Linked DNA regions of Lepisosteus oculatus. The protein of the gene in region 1 interacts with the protein of each later gene in a pairwise test. Links are inferred from orthologs where the notes say so. Each region holds a gene or a part of one and is shown on either strand. Other genes may lie near its edges.

The links. The genes of interacting proteins can lie anywhere in the genome.
Region 2: the proteins of vbp1 (region 1) and pfdn4 interact in binary tests that used the Homo sapiens proteins (3 or more experiments, as listed by UniProt). The link is inferred for Lepisosteus oculatus from reciprocal best matches to the Homo sapiens genes VBP1 and PFDN4.

What each region holds. Positions count from the first base shown.
Region 1 is NC_090703.1:47,078,766-47,085,641, reverse strand, and holds the start of vbp1 (prefoldin subunit 3), read right to left. Parts: upstream 3,021-6,876; 5' UTR 2,991-3,020; coding exon 2,910-2,990; intron 1,058-2,909; coding exon 933-1,057; intron 516-932; coding exon 449-515; intron 342-448; coding exon 243-341; intron 1-242. Other genes in the region: prss23 (serine protease 23), read right to left, coding at 6,380-6,876. UniProt on the Homo sapiens protein: Binds specifically to cytosolic chaperonin (c-CPN) and transfers target proteins to it. Binds to nascent polypeptide chain and promotes folding in an environment in which there are many competing pathways for nonnative proteins.
Region 2 is NC_090711.1:11,177,960-11,185,759, reverse strand, and holds the start of pfdn4 (prefoldin subunit 4), read left to right. Parts: upstream 1-4,780; 5' UTR 4,781-4,857; coding exon 4,858-4,884; intron 4,885-5,544; coding exon 5,545-5,652; intron 5,653-5,848; coding exon 5,849-5,989; intron 5,990-7,800. UniProt on the Homo sapiens protein: Binds specifically to cytosolic chaperonin (c-CPN) and transfers target proteins to it. Binds to nascent polypeptide chain and promotes folding in an environment in which there are many competing pathways for nonnative proteins.

The sequences.
Region 1 (6,876 bases):
CCGGTTGCCCCAAAAGGGGACGCAGTGCTACCCCTGGTCGCCCCAAAAGGGGACGCAGTGCTCCCCCTGGTCGCCCCAAAAGGGGACGCAGTGCTCCCCCTGGTCGCCCCAAAAGGGGATGCAGTGCTCCCCCTGGTCAACCTAAAGTTAACACTACAATATCTCTGCTCGTCAGGGTTGGAATAACCGTCAACTTAACGCAATTTACTAATGAGACGTAGCAGTATGGATTAAATACTTACGCCAAGCCACAAACAGACTTTATCTGTGGGGGGTACCAAGGCCTTGCAATACAGGTTATCAGCCAGCAGGAAGTGGGTTTCCAAAGGATCTGTGGTGTCCTAAGGCAGGTGGAAATAAAATCACAGTAAGCAGCTGCAAAACACACAAGAGGGGTGGAAAAGAAATTAGACCCGGTGGGCAGTGACCCCATGCGGCCGAGATGTACCTTTTTCTTCTGCATGTGTTTTAAAATTTCGAGTGTTTGCTTAATTTGGGGGATCTGGCTTTTCAATCTGAAAAGAGACAAAAACAGGAAAGCTGGGAGGTTAATGGGCAAGACCGTCTTCCATCACACCGGGACATCTGGAGGACGAGTCTCCGGACGCAGGACCGGGAGCCGTTTGACGGCGTTCCTTTACAAAGCCCTGAAAAAAATGGCTCTCTCTTCATGCGCCACTACATTCCGCGAGCTCTGTTCACGGCAGCAAACGCTTTCTACTCCCAGAAAACTCCCCGTTTCTCAAAACAGGCAGTTTTTTTAAATCCCACTTAATGATGAACAGCTTCAGGCTCCTCCTAATCACTTAACCTCAAGACTGACTGGAGCAACACAACCCTCTCCTGCGAGTATTCAGACCTACGGTTTAGCAAGACCTATAACCCCCATCACCCCCACGGGCGACGGGCGGCAGAGACGCCCTCGGGCTCACCTCAGCTTCTTCTGCGCCAGGTTGAGCTCCATGAACTTGTACTTCTGATACTGCTCATCCAGCTTCCTCAGCACAGCGTCAGCCGTCTCATTGCCAGGCTGCTTCATGAAGGCGTCCACATCCTCCTGCGAGAGAGAGGATCTGTGAAATCACCCCTCCTGATAGTTCATCGGGCAACTTTACTCGGCCGACTCTTTTATCCAAAGCATCATGTTTCTACCCTTTATTTACCACTGGGTATTTCACTGGGGCAGTCTGAGTGATGTACTTTGCTCAGGTGTACAGCAGCCAGTGCCCCTCCCATATATATGCCATATATGGACATCAGGGCGGTTACTCCTCCCACTTCCTGTCACCATGGTAACCCGTTGGCACACTAACCCTCATGTTTAAAACCACAAAGGCAAAATCTCTTCCATACTGGGTAACAGGAACTGAACTGTTTCGTTATCGGCTTTGTGAAATTGCTCGGGAATGCATTGATAAAGCCGGGCTTTCTGCTACATCAAGACTCCGGCAGCTATTTAATCCCGAGTGTAGGCCCGTCATGGCAGACGTGCCCTACTCTAGTAGAACAAGACTCCACTTGAACAAGACTCTTGTTCAAAGAGGCACTAGTGAACAAGAGCCCTCTGCCCAGGCGCAGTTCTAGTACAATACTGCAGGCTCCTTCCTGATTTGCTCTTGAATCCTGAACTGAATTCAGAACTAAGAGAACAAGAGGCAGATGGAGCTGGGACCAGGAAGGCAGCTGATCAGAAAGGTCAGGGATTTAATTAATTGTGCCGACATCGCCCCCAAGAACCACATTCAGGAAGACTCGGGTTCCAACCCTGGGCTCAGAAGCTTAACTGTTTTGAAGATGATACTAGCTCTGGGTCTGCGTCAGTCCCATTAATCAGCCCGGAAGACGTCTTTATTCGTCGTGTCTCCCAATATAAAAGCAGTCGGAGGCTTATCATGGCTCTGTAGAGTCTCCACTCAGGAGACAGTTGTTCTTGTGCCTGAACATGTTAAAAAAAAACGGTTTCACTAAGAAAATAATCTATGTAATGTTGGGCCAAAACGCTTTTTTTTCCCATAATTTGCCCTGTAAAAAAATCCAGATGACATTTACACAGAAACAACTCAGCAACGGGTCGAAAATTACACCAGTACGGGCAATAGCACAGAAACATAACGATAAAGACAAAGGGGTATGGAAGATGCCATCGCCACTTTTGGTAATGAACTATTGCAACATATGATTTGCTCTGATTTCTTAACCGGACCTCAAACGGACATTTCGTTTACGGTTCTCGGTCACGCCATCTAACGACAATGGAGCTAGTGAGGTTCTCGCTGTGGAGCAGACACGGGTCCACCTCCTTCTCCGCAAACGACAAGCGCGTCTCCACGACCCGAGGTCCTAACCCAGCACGCAGTGACTCATCTGCACCGCGCTGGAGCCCGCGGCCGGAAGGGCTCCTGAACTGAAATATTGACGCTGTCAAACCCGCACCCCAGCCGAACTGCTAAAAAATATATATATTTTCAATTAAATAATACAAAATACGCCGATCCAGCCCCCCTGATTATCTTATAATGTTGGTCGGAACTTGAACGTCCGAAGATTGTAGTTGAGACAAGACATTCAATCGACTTGCTTCCACGGTACAGCGGTAACCATTGGATACCATAAAATCTATGCTCTGGGTGTGGAGGTATGCTTAAAAATGCATTTGAGCTCTAAGGGTGCGGGCTGCTCAATGCCCCATTGTCGTCCGCCCGCAAGCGAGACCACCCTTTTCCTTGTAGTCTCAGATCCCGGTGCTTAGCTTTCATAGTCGAAATGTCTCCAACTGCCTTTTAAGGATGTGGATGGCTAGCTACTGTAATATCGGATTCTCCTTTCTGCACGGAGTTCTCCCAGCCCTTCATCATCAATAATTCTCCACATGTAAAAAGGCACAACAGACGTTGCCTTTGGCCTCTTACCACAAATACAGCCTCCGGGATGCCTAAGTGTTTTCGCTTGCCTGCTGCCACAGCATTGCTGCTCTCCGTGGTCGCCGCCATCTTGGACAGATTTCCCCTCACGCCATGCAGCGGCGCTGACGTTGTGCGTAGCGAACGTGGACCCCACCCATCACCTTTCCCCGCCTCCTCAGCCGCAACTGCAGCTCTGATTGGACGCCGGGGAGAACGGCTCGAGCGGGTAGGACCTATCGTAGAGAAACGCAGCCGGATATGGGCGAGTCCCCCGCAAGGCTTTCTGGAGAGTGTAGTTTAATCTTTCGTTTCTTTGTCCAAGGTGGGGGAACAAGTTAGGGCGGGGGGGATCCTGGTGTTGTAAATTTCAGGCTACTCCTGAAATAATGCTAATTTATTTTCGGGAGGAAATCGTTTAAAACACCGTCATCGTGAAATCTGACACTAAAAGCAAGGCTTTGAATTTAAACAGCTGAGCAGTTATCACAATCAAAATATGCAACCTAGCCTTTATGACAAGTAGTTAATCCCATGGATCCATTCATTTTCTAACTGCTTTAGGGGTGTCATGCCTATCCCAGCAAGCAACAGGCACAAGGCAGGATACACCCTGGACTGGACACCAGTCCATCATAGGGCAGACACACAGACACACACACCAGGGTCAGTTTTCCCAGAACAGAACAGAAAGTTAACCAACCAGCATGTCTTTCGATTGTGGAAGGAAACCAGAGAACCCAGAGCGCACCCATGTAATCATGGGGAGAACATACAAACTCCACACAGACAGCACCCTAGGATTTGAACCCAGGCCCCCTGCACTGCCAGGCTGCAATGCTGCCCCATCCAGCTGATGAATATTTATTTTTCCAAGTAGAGAAAAACTGTTTTAAATAAAAAATGATTAATCTGCCGCCGATTTTGATCGTGCGGCTTAGTTCAAAAACAGATGTTCCCTGGATCCTGGGTTGAGTTTCAGACGAGGGCACCTTCTGGGTGGAGTGTGCATGTCTTCGCATGTTCCCACGGGTTTCCTCTCGCTCTGCAAAGACATATGTGAGCTACGTTCATTATATTTGTTGTCCCCGCTGTGTGTGCGCGCACTGCAGTGGATTAGCGCCCCGTCCGGGGTGCGGGTGCCGTCCTGCGCCCTGTTTTCCCAGAATGGGCTCCCGGTTGGCGTGACCCTCGCCAGGAACAAGCAGCTTCCTGACAACGGGAGGCAGGAAACTCAGTGGCCAAGAAAATCTTGAGAGTGAAACAGCATATTATAAACATGCAATATATAAACAGAATATCGGGTGGAGTGGTGGCTCTGTGGCTCAGGATCTGCGCCTGTGACTGGAAAGTTGCCGGTTCAAATCCTGCAGCTGGCAGAGGAATCCTACTCCGTTGGGCCCCTGAGCAAGGCCCTTAACCCTAACTGCTCCAGGGGTGCTGTACAATGGCTGACCATGTGCTTTGACCCCCTGCTTCTCTCCCTGTCTGTGTCTCATGGAGAGCAAGCTGGGGTATGTGAAAAGATGAACTCCTAATGCAAGAAATTGTATATGGCCAATAAAGTGATCTTATCTGATATTAATAATAATCCTCATCATTAGTGTAATCCTTACAGTTCTATAGTGCTTTTTTGCAAAGTACGTTACAGGTAACGGGGAATCCCACTAACACCAGCAGTGAACAGAATCACCTGGACGATGTGACAGCAGCCATCATGATCATTTCTCAGTGGGGAGGAGAGCAGAGTGATGAAGCCAGTTCATGGGGATTATTAGGAGGCCGTGAGTGGTTAAGACCAGGGGAATGGCTGTTTGTCCTATAGGATCATGCTAGTTATCCCTGGGATCTAACTTCCTAATGTTATTTGTTTTCCCAATTCGTTTATGCATTTATATTCAAACTTTTCTTCTTGCATTATCTTAATTTATGAATTGATCTATAAGTAAGCTCATGGATATCAACCCCAGAAACTCAAGTCTTCTGCCACTTTGAGCACAGACAGCTGGCTCAAACGTAGCCGTCTCCTGAAGTGCTGTTCATCTTTTCTTTCCTTTTGTAGTTTTTTACAGCAAAAAAAAACAACAACCTGACTACAGGCTCAACACGCAGCATTGAAACAAAGCTGTTGTAAAGCTGCACGTTTCCTCTCAGGGAAAAGTGGGCTTTATCCTGATGGGGTTCCCGATCTCGGCTACTTTTCAAGGACATGAAGAAAAACCAAAACAAGACAAGACAGACAACACCCACACGGGGAGAAACAGTTAATCAAATATCCAGTTTATTCAAATATATAGAAGGCTTTCTCAAATAAAACTTAATGAAACGAAATGAAACGCAACCGGAATCCTGCTAACGGCAGTGCCCCGGCCGGGCCCTGGCAGAGGAACGCCGAGCCGTTGCGTGGCTGTCAGGGCTACACGCGCGGACAAGGAAGTGCTGTGTTACTGGGGGGGATGGCCGGGAGCAGGCTGGTCAGCATCAGCCTGTGCTCTGCAGAGAGCGGTGCTGTCAGGCACAGAGGCTGTGAGATTGTCCCACCAGTTAAACTCTCATTAAAGGCCCTTCAGCGCATTTCCCCTTATATTTACAGGGAGATCTGCTCCTCCCCCCCAAAAAAGCACACTGAGACGTTAGTTCCTTAAATCTTCCAACTTAGTGATTTCCTCAACCTGACCGGTTACCCTTATGAAACGGAGCGCCCTCCTCATGGTAAAACAAAATCACAGCTTCTTCTCTTATGAGAGTGCTCATGGGTGTGCAGGTCGTTTGAAAGAGACCTGACGGTAATCACAGGCTGGAGAGGAAGTATCTCAGTGGATCTGATTTAAAGGGTGCTCATGCGGTCCACGGCACAGGGATGCTGGAACTTTCAGCTGGAAGCTGGGAAGGTGGAGCTACGACTGCCCCCCCGGTCCTGTGGGAACGGAGCCTGGCCCGTCCTGTGCTAATGGGTCCATCACAGCCCGGGGGGCAGGGGGCAGGGGAATTCGCTGTTCGCGGGGGGAGGGGGAGATATCAGGAGAGGGACCGGTTTCGGGTCCTCTCAGACCGCGACAACAGACACAGTAAAATACACAAGGCAGGTAGGGCAAGCAAAAGTGCATCAACGAAGTATCGATTAAATTATCACAGCGCTCCTACGGTTTGCCGTAGGTCACGCACAAAGAGGTCCAGAGTGGTCTGTTAGCTTCCTTTCACGAAGACTCTTCTCTGCTGAGACAATCGCTATCAGTGAGTGCGGGCAAAGCAAGCCAAGAACCAGGAAGGGCGCCCAAGACAGACATTTCCCACTAAGAACAGACAAGATTCTTCTTTAGCCTTTGCATGCACGGGCTGCCCCCGCATAAAGGCTGTTTCTTTAGGAATTTACTACCTTGTTTTAATCACAAAGCATGAAACCGTTTAAAGAAGTTGAATGATATGGGACTAGGGCACCGGGACCCCCAGGCTACGGTCCCCAGCCCAGTCTCCTGCGCTCAGTCCTGAAGGCAGTCCAAGTGGTTCCCCTTCACCCAGTAACAGATCTGTGCAAACTTGAGAGGGGTGAACCGGACGGCGACGTTGAAGTCTCGGTTCTCCCCGTTGATCTCCAGCCACTGGTGTCCCGAGAAGACTCCGATCACCTTCCTCTCCCAGCGCTCCAGCGCGGCGTCCCAGACGCGGCCGTACACCCCCGAGCCGCTGGCGCCGGGCCGCGCGTCGCAGTGCTGGTAGATGAGGTCGTTGGACTCGTCCTCCACGGGGCAGAACCGGTACACCAGCTCTCCGGGCCGGTCGCTGTCGAACCCGGAGAAGTGGATCCGCTTGCCCGCGAGGTCCTGGGCGGAAGGGGCCACGGAGAGACGCATGTAGGGGCGCCGGTGGGGGGCGCGCAGCTCCAGGAGGGCGTAGTCGAAGTCCATGCTGGCCTCCTGGGGTCCCTGGATCCAGCCTTTCGGAACCCGGGTTCGCTTGACCCTCACCCAGCGCACCA
Region 2 (7,800 bases), on another chromosome or scaffold:
TTTTAACTACAATGCTACTTACTAAGATTTTGATAGATTTAGATTATTTTGTTGTGCTAGAGTGAAGATGGCTGGTTATCTTTTAACCCTAGGTCCCTACCTTGTTACCACAAAGGAGGTGCTGTCCAGGTTGTCTATAGTTCTGAATCGAATGCATAAAATGCCAGAATTCTTCCATGATTATCTTTGTCTAGGCATGGAGTTCAAACTTAGTGGCTGCTTTGTACTTGTTGCAGAATCCTTGTGGTGATACTGTTCATTGTTTACAGGAGTGAGTCTTGATTTAGAGACAGCTACTGTAAGTGAAACATATTCTAGGATGTATTGATATGTGATCATGTGTAATCAAGAACTTCACCATTAAAAATAAGGTATTCAAGAGTTTGTGTGGTAGTAAAAGCACTATACTGCAGGAAGAGGTATACTTGCATAAAGTGATCTTCCCCCTCACAGCACCCCGCAGAGTTTCCCAATAGTCTTTACTTTGGACAATTGCCTGGATAGAGGAAATATTTCATCCTGTGTCATTCACCTGAGCTGAGGCTTCAGTTCAACTCAAGAGACACGTGATGAAGGGAGCTCCAATTAAAAATCTAATCTTGCTATCTAACAAAAATTGAAAACTTGCAAACATTTGGAACCTTTCAATTTCATTTCAAAGTTTCATTTGGCTAAGGGCATGCAACAAAAGTGCAACAACATGTAATTTATATTAAATGACAACTTTCTGTCTGAGAGCTTTATACTTTCGAAGTCTGAGGGCTGTGGGTGGAGGAGTCAGGGTTAAGGTAGACTTTGGAGCACATCTGTAATTTCTGCAGTCAGAGATTCATTAAAAGAGCTGCATAAAATGTTTTTGTTATCATTATTACTTGAGTTAAAGAAGAAGAACCTTCACTTATTTTTAAGTGGTTTTAAAAGTTTTAATGTTCATATAGAGAACGATACTTATGCAAAACACCTCTTTTAAACAATACCTTAAGAAAAAGAATAGACACTGCAGAAGACATTTTATTACTATATATTTAAAAATATATATTTTCAATTAAACCTGAGTGACGCATGTGTGTTGTATCCCTTTTCTAAGAATTCTAGAAAATGATTTGCCCTCATTCATGAATTCAACAAATTTGTATCCTCTTTTATTTGCACGGTAGCAATCTAAACAGTATATTCAAGGTTAATCTATTATGTCAACATGAAGACTGATAGCCTTGTGCCAGATCAGTTCAAAATGTATTTTTTTCTCTTTTTTGGTTATTATTTAATAGATGTTCATTCAGGACATTCAAATGGCAATGAGTTCTTCAGTTCTTTTACGCCACTGGCAGCTTATGTCAATGATTATAAGATAAGACCATTATCACTCTAAGATCCAAAAGTCATGTAAAATTGATTTTCTTCTGATATGGGTTACACATTAACTCTCATGTGATTTAACTAAAATAATGATGTGCCTGGTAAAATAGATCCAGCCTGGATTTAAGGACCCACAATCTGAATTTGTTAGTATATACCTGTATATATTTAATTGCTGCCAATGTAGGCGTACTCATCAGAAAACAGGAAATAGCTGTGCAGTGTTATAGAAGATGTGGATAAGCAGTGGCAGACCAGTTTATCTGTGTATATATATGAGCACTGTAGCCAAATCTTAGTATTTATTATCATTATTACTTTACTTAACAAGATCCATCCATTCATTTTCTAACTGCTTCATGCGATTCGGGGGGGGGCAAGGGAACTGAAGCCTATCCCAGCAAGCAATGGGCACAAAGCAGGGTACTCCATGGAAGGGGTGCCAGTCTATCCCAAGGCACAGACAGACACAACCAAATACCCTACCAAACTGGAGCACCTGGAGGAAACCAACACTAATGCAGAGAGAACATAGAAACTCCATGTTGACAGCATCCCAGGAATTGAACCCCAGCACTCTGAGGCAGCAACGCCAATCACTGCATCACCTACTGATTCTACAAATTCTAATTTACATAGACAACTAACTGGCTAGGCAGGGTACACTACTGTGATGGTAAAAAGAACAATAAAAGACAGCAAAAGAAGAAAAAGATGACATTCCTTTTGCTGTCATATTGTTTATTGGGATAGTGCCTTCATCCACCTTTAAGAACATAGAGAATATATTTAAGACTTTACTTTGCCTAAACACACCCTACAATAGTTTCAGGTGTTAAAACAGGTATGAACTGCTTACTTATGGGACTACCGCTAAAACATAATTACTATGAAAATGATAGCGTCTTAATTTAAGAGATCCTTTTGCATTGTTTTGCACTACCTATTCATGCACAAATAATAGATGCATCTGAATTTGTTTTGGGCACAGACAGCATAAAGGAAAAATAACATTCTTGGGCACTGCCTAGAGAACTATATTATTCATAGGTGTGGTCCATCCAGTCCACACTTGTGAAAATGGTTTAGCTCTGGTATGACTCATGATTCCTGAGGACAAAAGCTGAAACGTGTCAGGCCAGTTCTTGCTGTGGGACAGAAAGTTTCTCACAAGGTATGTATGACTCTGGTACATCACTACATCACTAAAGCAGCAGGAAATCTGGAAAAAGTGTCAATTCAGACAGCCTCAGGGGTTGACATTACTGACATGTCAACCCAAATTATCCCATTGGGTCACATTATGGGGGGTCCACCCCTACCCACATCTCATGCAAAGCTACATAAGGCTCTGCTATGAGTTTTTTGCAGATGATGTACAGTATAAAGTAAACTTGCATCACGGCAAATACGTGGACAGACAAATATTTGAATAGAAGGTCAAATTTGTAGAAAGACCAGAAAATATGTGGAACTCCTGTTCACCGTGTACAGACAAGAGCCCCACATTAAGTCATCATTTGCAAAAGTAACATTTTACTTTTTTCAATTTAGGTCAATTTTTTAATTTGGTCAATTTAGTCATTTGTTTTCATGTTCAAGCACATGCAGTATATAGACATGATACGTTTTTACACATTTTAGTGAAGTTGGTTAACATTAGCAGTAATGTAATAATAATCAGAGATCATATTAGTAAAGACTATCTGATTATTATTAACTGATCAATTATTAATGATCAGTGAAAAGCCCTTCAAGATAACATCAGAAGTTACACTCATATCCTCACCTATCAATTGCACCACTGAATGAGGACAAGCAATTGCTTTGCCCATCATGTTCAGGAAGTACTTGAGCTCAGTGTGAACTGAGTTCAAATTCATTCAATTCCTCTTGAGCAGAATCATCCATTACATTACAACAGTTTGTGCAACCTGAGGTTTCTATGACAGCAATAGTTAGGTCTTCAGGTCAATAACACATTTAGGATCAGTAGCTGTGCCATTTAAAAAATTCCTTCAGGCACAGGTGTTTCGTTAATCATTCATTCTACATTCTCTGAAAGTTAATCATTTTTGTACATTCCTCAACTTAAACTTTAAACTAAAAAAGAAAAAAAAACTCGATATTGCTCTTAAATTTATTATAATTATAAAACCAGAAAAAATATTATATTAATCCTGCCTGTTTCAGCATTTCTTTTTGTTTCCTCTAATGTTTAAAACCCATCAAACACAGAAAGGACATTTTTTAAATTAATCAGCTGTGATAAACGGCGTTCATAAAGGCTGAAGATTCATAAACATGAAGTGTTCAGATACATAACATGCAGTGCAAGAGTTTGACTAATATATTTCATGTGAATACATATTTCTTTTAGTCTGTCAATGAAGAACATTCCTTTTCTCTTCTTTGTCTTTGAGCACATTTTGGTCACAAGGTGACAAACTGACAGTATTGTAAATGCCATCTTAATTCTGCAACTTCAAATTGTAATATCCATTGATTTAGAAGTGATGCCTTTTTGCTTACATTTTATTTGCTTTTTTCATTGTTTTCCTACATTCCTATACTGTCTGTCTCGAAGATGAAAATGCTGTCAGGATGAACTGGTAAGGTTTTCTAAGGTCGCCTGTTCAAGCTCAGCATTTCCCATTTTATAGTTAGTTTATAGTAATAGTTTTTATGTTTATGTTTTTGCTACCTGCATGAAACTCTCGGCACATATCTAAATAAGATATAATCTGTTAGCTGTTTTCGCTAGTCTTTCCTCTAAATCTTTATGAATTTAGTTCGCAGACTGCGTGCTCGTCACTTCTGTATCATATGCGTGTGCGACTAGTTTGCTAACTGTAACAGAATATAGATCATAAATATAAATCACAAAGAACAGCGGCTGTGTCCTATAAAAAACCGTATCCTATTAAACACTGTTCCATTATTGACATTTCTTATTCGCGTTAATTAGTATTGCTAGTAACGACAGCAAGAGTTAAGCATGCAACATGACGTTATAACTACCAAGTATTAGTTGGAAAAGAAATTAAGATAAAATACAAAATCCTTGACTAATATAGCATTCAATATTCGGAATGGAGGGAGAAACAATTATATGTTAAAAATCCCTTTTATGACTGTTTTAAAAAGTAATTATTCCAGTATTAAGAAGATAATTAAATGATTTTGTGACACGTCTGCCACCTGCAGGACATTAGAAGTATTACCGTAAAACTCCTTTTTATCGGCCAAACTTTTAAACTTCCATGCGTTCTTTGAGTGCGTCCCTTTAAACGGAACCTACCACTTGTTTAAATAAATTATATACATCCAGAAACCGATATGTGAGCTACACATAAAATCATTGTGCATTGTACTTAATTGTATTAATATTTTAAAGTAAAAAATGAGAACCCGCACGTCAATGAAAACGCTGTAAATCAAAACAAATACTCCAGAAGGTATAATTCTCCACGTGAATGAATAGATTCGTCCATAAAAATGGCAGCGACCATGAAGAAGTCTGTTGTAAGTAATTCTTAACAGGTTTTAGATTTTATTAATCTTTTTGTCGGTCTTGCTGGGTAGGCATGTATTATGTGTAATCTGGAAATTAAAGCTGGTAAAGCAGTTCTATTAGCGTGTGCACTAATTAAGTCCATCTTCGTTATAGACTGTTATGGGTGTGGTGGTTAATATCGGTGAGCTTTTGATCTGTTGTTGGTTTCAGACAGTAATATATAGTTATATATTGCATTCCATAAAGCTCTTTAGTAATTTATTATTAAGAATACAATCCTAAACGCCGTTAGTAAACGACAGCTGCATTTCACATAAGCAAGAGACGAAAATGGGTGGTATTAAGTAAAAATAATACGCAAACGCTTTAAATGGAATGAATGAGGTTTAAATTTCTGAAGTTGCAAGTACAATCTCTATATCGTTGGATAATTATCTTTGAAACTATTCTTATTATTAACAAAAATAATTTGAGCACGCAGTATGTGACCATTGGATTTTTGTAAATGACTACAGCTGAGGACCAGGTCTGAGAGTCAGTACCCGGGGATTTTTCAAGAAATTACCGAATGAGATACTCTGATCAGTACAGGGTAGCTACTACAAGCACCAACGAGCTAAGTGGGCCCACTTGCTTTCTTTTCTTTACATTTTTTCATATCTTTATAGGCAGTAGAAGACGTGAACGTCACCTTTGAAGACCAACAGAAGATTAACAAATTTGCTAGAAACACAAACCGGATGACTGAACTCAAAGAAGAAATAGAAGCAAAGAAGGTATATTTATAATTGGCAAGTGCACATTAGCGCATTTAATTGAAGGCTATTAAAACTATCTGAGCTTGGAAGAAAACTATTCTAAAATACCAGTAGCAATCACAAACAACAACAACAACAAAAAAAGGTTTGCCTTGTTGTTGGGCAGATCTCCTCAGTTATGTATTCCATGATGACGTTTGCCTCTCTTCTTCAGAAATCTCTTCAGAACTTGGAGGACGCCAGTGATGACATCATGATGTTTGATGATGACACCTTACTAATTCCGTATCAGATTGGTGATGTCTTCATTAGCCACACCCAGGAGGAAACACAGGATATGTTAGATACTGGGAAGGTAGGCCTAGCTTTGTGAAGTTCATTCTAATCCATGGTTAGTAAACAGCTGTAAGAGTCTTACTGCTCTAGGGTCCTGGGTTGGTTTCTGGACTGAGGTGAATTCTCTGTTCTTGCTCTGTTTGATGGATGGATGGATGGAGTAAAAAGCAAACTGTTGTCTCATATAATTTTACAGATTCCATAAGTTACATTACTGAAAGCACATTTTATTGCTTATCTTCTGCAGAGGGTGTGTTTTGTAGAGCAGCGTGGCGGTTTTTATCTTTCCTGTAACAGTCTTCTTTCTGAAGAGCTCAATAACACTGATCGCTTTGTTCCTTTTTAACGAGTTCTCACTTCTGAGTAAGTCTTACCCTGTGATCAGTTAACAGTCAGCTGGAAAAAGCTGTCGTAATGCTCATCAATATAGTATGTTTGATCTGCTCTCTTAAAACATGACCCTTCAGAATCAGTTCTCAACTTTATTTGTACTGAAATGCTATGAAAAGAAACCTAAAACAGCTGTAGACTCACCTAATTATCTTAATAGATGCAAAAAAATGGAATGTGAAAATTTGAATTGTTTCACAGCAGTAAATGAAGTTATTAAGGAAAAATAACACATAATTTTTAATTTAACATATAGTAAATAAACACAAAGGTGATATTTTCAGAGTTTCCTGCAAGGAATGTGTGAGATTTTCTGCTGAAATCTTGCAGGTGCATACTATTTGCATTGATGGTTTCTTTTAATTTTTGTACAAAAACACATTGGTTAATTAATGAAGTTGTGAGTCTCTATAGCAGTTTCTAAATTTTATGTTACTTTGTTTTTTTTAATCAACTTTGACTTGATGTAAATACTTGAGGTCTGAGAATTGTGAGATTCTGTACCATTGCAGCTACTGGCAGATAAATGATCTTGCGGTGTATCATTATGAAACAGTATCTCAGTATGGATTCTTGTGTATATTATGTCTGCATTTTTTGGCCAGACGGTCCGTCTGGTCTGTATACAATAATAGAGAATAGTATTACTCCAGAAATTATGTCGAGCCAAGATCCCAGATTCCTCTTTGCTTATTTAACCATGTTTCAGTGTACAGTTTCAAGCTTACTTGTAACTTTTATGTGACTATGAAATATACCTTATCAGAAGTTTTCAGCTGTCCATTGATATTTTGTACCATCAATTGACACCCTATTCATATCAATTTCTACCTCCTATACTTAAGCTGTTGAAGCTTTCCAAGTTTGGGGATAGCTGAACTGACATCAAGATTGTTAAAATTAATGCATATTCATACTGGTATGAATGATCATTTACTTTAATAGAAGAAAACTATTTAGTAGTGTGGTTTCCTACACTTACTTTAACAGAATAAGAAACCATAAAATATAAATTATTTTCCTTTGCCACTCTCAAAATATAAGTTTGAAAATTAAACTCTGATGTACTCTAACCTGAGGAAAGCTGGAAATGTGAAAGTAGTTTTCCCACAAACAACTCCGACAAGACAACTCTGACTTAGAAATAAATGTAGATTACTTTTGTATATTGTATAAATTACCTATTGTTGTTATATACTGTTGTACCTGTGAGGAACTCTGTGTGTGTTGGCTGTGAAGGACCAGGTTAATTTCACGATGGAAAAACTAGAAAAGAGAAACCAAACATTTTGGCTGAAGAGTCAGGTATTTGTAGATACTTTATATACTTTGTACTGTGTACTATATACTATAAAGTATATACAGTATTTTTGTATGTTGATTCAGTATGAAGTGCAAAATTAAGGATTATTTATTTCCACAAAGAAAATCAAGTATTTT